2 linked regions of the Saccharomyces cerevisiae S288C genome follow. Changing the gene in region 1 together with any one later gene gives a genetic interaction. Each region holds a gene or a part of one and is shown in the gene's direction. Other genes may lie near its edges. The genes, in order: BIL2 and AAD4.

Region 1 (2,734 bases):
AAATTGCGCGCCCATTTCATAAGAATTAGGAAAAGGTGATCTAATACCATAGATAGGGGAGGATATATTATGTGGGTGGCCTGGCATAATAGGATTTGGTTGAAGTAAAGGTCCCCCATATGGATATGCTGCACCATAAGTTGTAGGACTCTCTTTTTTAGCTGGTGCAGTTTTATTAATCAAATCCTCCTTCGAGGTTTCTATTTTGAAATCGGATAATTTCTCAGAAACACTATTGGTTGGGGGTATAAATGACGTTGAGGAGGGAGTATTATCAAAAGATATGGATTGAGTTCTGGTTTTTGCAGTATTGTTAGCTCCTACAGACGGTTTCTTAGCCTTAGAAAAATTCTGCATGTCAGATTGGAAGTCCTTTGACAAGGTTACATTGTTGGCCGCATTGATAAGGTCAGTTGGTGATAAAGCATGAAAAGTTTGTCTTCTGAACGAACTAGCCTTATTATTAGACTCCCTGCCCTTAGATGGTAGGCTTTCTTGTAGAGTAGCGGTGGTTTCTTCAATGGCTACAGATGCTGATCCTGGTACGTTTGAATGAGTCCATAACGGATCAGCCGATGCGATTGGCAATACCTTCATTGAATTGTCATTTATCAATGGGTTTAGATTTTGTCCACCTTGAGTTGCTACCGCAGCACCCGAAGACAGCATTTGAAATGGAAGTGAGTCATTCTTGAATAACATTGGTGGACCGCCTGCATTCAAGGGCGAGCTACTCAATGGTGCTGTTGGATCATTAAAATCAGGGGGCGGAAAAAATGGACAAGGATTATGAGGAACCTGCATCATTTGAGAGTAGGGCATGAAGCCCATTCCACCCATCATTTGTGGATGTGGAAACATTTGCGACGGAGGGCCATTAGCGAATTGAGAATCTTGAGAAACTTTATTCGCAAATGCATTAGAGGTGGCGTTTTCCTCTGGATCATCTAGTTGCAACTGCTCTAAAGCAGAATTGACTGTTTCTGAAACGACAGGGTCTACTGATGGTACATCATCGATTTCTTCTTTCAAACCTTTTGTAGACATAACGTAGGTCCACTTAAAAATGTTACAGCGCTTAGTTCTCTCTTTCTTAAAAGATATCGAGGACAAAGAAACAGTAAGAACGGAAAATGAACAGAGACTCTTAAAAGAACCTAAAGAATAAGCGAAAATAAAATATGAAAAGAGAACTAGTGGACAATATCAACAGGAATTTTAAGTGTACTAAAAATAAATCGTCTGGAATAGTGTACAAAAACGAATAATATTAATGACGGCTCAAATCCTAACGTTGGAAACTAAAATACAATAAAAATAATGTACAATGTAATATACGGAAGAAAGTTTTTTTTCTGTTTCAACAAAAAAAAAAACTATTCAAAAAAAAGACGTGAGGTACTGTTTGCTGTTCACCTTCGGAGAGAGATAACCAACCGATATTCTCTTTGAGTCTGAGTGATTTGTTAAACAAGGTGCAACGAATAAGAATATAACTATACTATCTACTATATTGATCATTATTTTTTATTCTCTGGAGGACCCCAGAACAAAAAAAATATAGAAAAAAAACAATCGTCAAGAGTGACAAATACATGAGTAATAAGAAAAGGCGTCACAAATTAAAATTTGCAGTCACAAAGAGAAATAGACAGAGAATAGACTGTCTGGAATTAAGATGTCTTTTCTATCTGAGCTCCCAACAAGGCAACGGTATTGGACAGATATAATTCACAAATCACAATTCACTCCATGGAAGACACGATACGTCCATTAAATTACGCAGATATCGAGACCAGCGGGCCCATAAACCTTCTTGAGACAACTAATAACCTAAAAAGCTCGTTAAAAAAGTTTTCACAAAAGGCAAAGGGATCACACATTTCCAGAGAAAGGATTCACCATTTTAGAAAATGGAAAAATAAGACCGAATCACTTTCAGAAAACCATTTGAAGCCTCCTCCTGACGTCGACTCTCTATGTTTCAGTAACTGCTTTCAACCTGACGCCCTGTCTGGAAATGTATTTTTACCCCCCAGAAGCTCAAACATGTATTGGAATGAAAAGCAATTACAATTAGAAATGGAAATTCTAAAATTTTTATCACTAAATACTAGCAATGAATGCTGCACTTCTGATGATTAGCTTTTACACACATATATACTGCTACTATCTTTAAAGCACAAAAAAAAAATCTATCAAAAAGGATCAACGCATTACTAAATAAAATGTAACAAAGAATAGCCTTCACCCTCAGCGGAGAAATTCTTAACAAATCATCCTTGGTAATTTGGAAGTGTGGTACAATCCAACCACCACTGCAAAATAACATTTCCAGCTGCTCTGCTTCCTCTCGTAATAAGTAATTTATTAATAAATTTTTCATGACCTGCAGGATTGTTACATATTTGGGGCAAAACAGCAACGAGCCACTCTCTTGCTTCAATTGGAAACTTGGCTACCAAAGCTCTTAGCAGATCTGTGTAACTATTCAGATCGGACCTTTGTGTGTGGAATAAGCCATACATAATTTGGTACACAAGGTCTCCTCCTATAGAGGAAACTTGTTGCCTAACAGTTGTGAGTTCTTCTTGGTTGTATTTCTTATTATTGATCAACTTAGTCCAAAATTTTGCCACCGCAACAATTGTGAACTTTTCTCTTGAAGGTATTAATTTTAAAAATTGAGGTAAAATAAATGATGTCCAATGTTTACTGCCAATAGCTAAGCCTG
Region 2 (3,378 bases), on another chromosome or scaffold:
CATACGCCTGTTTGCAAATAGTCAACATATTCAACTCGGAAGGTAAAAGATGAAAAGGCAATTTTTTTGATTTTCTAAGAAAATGCGCAGCGGGCAGAAGGGTCTTCGCAGGCAACTGAGTAAAGAATATGAGAAAAGCCTCTAAATGTTGAACCCTGAAAAAGTTTCATCTATTTTTGATAAAGACTTTTCAATAGTGCAGGATCACGCAAGAAAAAAAAAGGTCCTTAAGAGCAATTGTGGGAAAATATAATACAATGCTTGCGTTAAAACTTCTAGTTACCTTTTACAACCGAAAGTAAACACTAGCATGGGCTTGGAGACGAGCAGCGCAAATTATATAGTTTGAGATAGAACGCTTTCTCCGGTATTGCCTGGGGAAAAGGAGTCACATGATTAGAATCGGCGAAATTTTTTTTCCAAAATTAACAGCAGGGTTGTCTGGATGTTTTATTGAAAATAGAAGCCAATGACAAACACAAGAGGCCAGTAGTATATTAATTTTAATGTGCATTCTAAAGCATCCTCACGTCTTTCAATCTGAAGTTACTGTTCGAGAAGGAGAAGAAAAGAAGGAAAAATGAAGGATATGAATAATAACATGAGTACTAGTTACGTCCAATCTGGTCACACCATATATTGATGCATCTTATGCGCCATAACTTCTTTTTTTGTAGCTATAATTTGTTGCCAGAAAAATGAAAACTTTTCAAAATCAACCAGTTTCCAATTTTTCTGCAACTCGTTATTTATGAAGATAGATGATGATTGACCCCCTTTCTCCAAAAATCGATGCAGCATTGGGTTATTTTTTGAGCTTTCTAATTATAGGGCCATTTTCTAGCAAGACTGTATAGCACATGCTCGCAAAGAACATGGCGTAATGTTCATAAGAAACAAATTTTGTAAGTTTCTTGTGCCTTTTGAGTTTGAAATCATTGACCAGAACAATGAGAACTCTAAACACGACAAATGGATCTTAAATCAATTTTCTTGAAAACATCTTCCAGTTTCGATATTCGCACATTTGCCGGTAAAATAGTGCAATCTGCCTATACCTTTAAAATGGGATCTTGAACGCGTACCTGAAGGTTTTTTTAAATAAGGCCGAACCTAAATGTTGCCTTCAAAATTAACCTGTATCAAATTTTGAAGCCGAAGTTGGTATCCTCACATTGTCTAACCTCATGGTCTCCTAAAGTCCGGCGATCACTTTCCGTTGCGTGACTATTGATGATCAGACTGTCAACAATGTCGTTCCGGGCCTCCATAGCTTGAAGAATTTTCGTTGACGGAACTAGAGGAATGGCAGATGGAGATGACCTTAGTTTCATGTCGCCTTGATAGTTATCAAAGAGTACAGAAACAAGACGTCTCTTGCTCAATAATAAGGATTGGATCAGGTGCTTACAAATTTTATTCGTCATACAAACAATTACTAATATTTTTTTAATATTAAGCGTACCCCTATTTGATTGGCTCTCTTCTAAATTCATACGTTTTAAAATCCGCTTTCAACCGTCAACATAAAATTAGTAAGCAGACCTCGTTCCAAGACCCAACTAAGTTGCACTAAATATCCTCGAACAAATTGGGGGCAGATTTTTGAACCATATAAAAGTCATGACAATATTTCCAGATCAAGGACAGTTGCAGTTCTTCCTTTCATCGGCCAGCTGACGAATTGACTGAGCGGCTTTGTATTTCACTAGAATACACTTCCTATAGCTACAAAATATTATTCAATAATATTAGTGAATTATTTAAACCTCTACCTGAACCACCTACCGAGTTGGGACGTCTCAGGGTTCTTTCTAAAACTGCCGGCATAAGAGTTTCACCGCTAATTCTGGGAGGAGCTTCAATCGGCGATGCATGGTCAGGCTTTATGGGCTCTATGAATAAGGAACAGGCTTTTGAACTTCTTGATGCTTTTTATGAAGCAGGAGGTAATTGCATTGATACTGCAAACAGTTACCAAAATGAAGAGTCAGAGATTTGGATAGGTGAATGGATGAAATCAAGAAAGTTGCGTGACCAAATTGTAATTGCCACCAAGTTTACCGGAGATTATAAGAAGTATGAAGTAGGTGGCGGTAAAAGTGCCAACTATTGTGGTAATCACAAGCATAGTTTACATGTGAGTGTGAGGGATTCTCTCCGCAAATTGCAAACTGATTGGATTGATATACTTTACGTTCACTGGTGGGATTATATGAGTTCAATCGAAGAAGTTATGGATAGTTTGCATATTTTAGTTCAGCAGGGCAAAGTCCTCTATTTGGGTGTGTCTGATACACCTGCTTGGGTTGTTTCTGCGGCAAACTACTACGCCACATCTCATGGGAAAACTCCTTTTAGTATCTATCAAGGTAAATGGAATGTGTTGAACAGGGACTTTGAGCGCGATATCATTCCAATGGCCAGACATTTTGGTATGGCTCTAGCCCCATGGGATGTTATGGGAGGTGGAAGATTTCAGAGTAAAAAAGCAATGGAGGAACGGAAGAAGAATGGAGAGGGTCTGCGTACTGTTTCGGGTACTTCTAAACAGACGGATAAAGAGGTTAAGATCAGTGAAGCATTGGCCAAGGTTGCTGAGGAACATGGCACTGAGTCTGTTACTGCTATTGCTATTGCCTATGTTCGCTCTAAGGCGAAAAATGTTTTCCCATTGGTTGGTGGAAGGAAAATTGAACACCTCAAACAGAACATTGAGGCTTTAAGTATCAAACTGACACCAGAACAGATAGAATACTTAGAAAGTATTATTCCTTTTGATGTTGGTTTTCCTACTAATTTTATCGGTGATGATCCGGCTGTTACCAAGAAGGCTTCACTTCTCACGGCAATGTCTGCGCAGATTTCCTTCGATTAATCAGATTTCTTTTTTGGTGCGTTTGTGTAAGAAATATGTCCTTATATATTCCACGCTATCTACTTTTATACTTTTGAATAAGCCGCACCTAAAAACAGTCTTTATCCCTCACCTAATTCAGGCGTAAATTGTGCAGGTTACAGCATTTGAAGTGGTAAATCGAGGCAACACAAGACTTTCGATACTTGGAGGCAAGTACGATAATTACAAGGGAAAAGAAGCTGTAATAAAAGGCTCATAAATAATATCTTAATAGTAAATATCTAAATATCAGGGAGGAAAAAAAACCTAATGGGAAATCATAAACAAGTCGTAGAGGAAGGCTACGCTCGAGGAGTGACGAAGTGCGTTTAAGCTGGAAGAGCCAATCTCTTGAAAGTACCTTCCTGTCTGCATTTTTCTTGATGAATAGCCATCAATCTTTGGGCTTCCAAAGGATCAGAAACCTCTTCTGGTTCTGGCCAGGACAGGTATTCATTAGTGTAGTTCGAGACATAGTC

Evidence for each region.
Region 2: mutations in BIL2 (region 1) and AAD4 together harm fitness more than expected from each alone (negative genetic interaction), as found in Saccharomyces cerevisiae (one large-scale study listed by BioGRID).

Annotation. Positions count from the first base shown.
Region 1 is NC_001139.9:464,454-467,187, reverse strand, and holds BIL2 (Bil2p), read left to right. Parts: upstream 1-1,752; coding exon 1,753-2,145; downstream 2,146-2,734. Other genes in the region: PUF4 (Puf4p), read right to left, coding at 1-1,047; KAP122 (Kap122p), read right to left, coding at 2,277-2,734.
Region 2 is NC_001136.10:17,077-20,454, reverse strand, and holds AAD4 (putative aryl-alcohol dehydrogenase), read left to right. Parts: upstream 1-1,888; coding exon 1,889-2,878; downstream 2,879-3,378. Other genes in the region: YDL242W (uncharacterized protein), read right to left, coding at 1,143-1,496; THI13 (4-amino-5-hydroxymethyl-2-methylpyrimidine phosphate synthase), read right to left, coding at 3,229-3,378.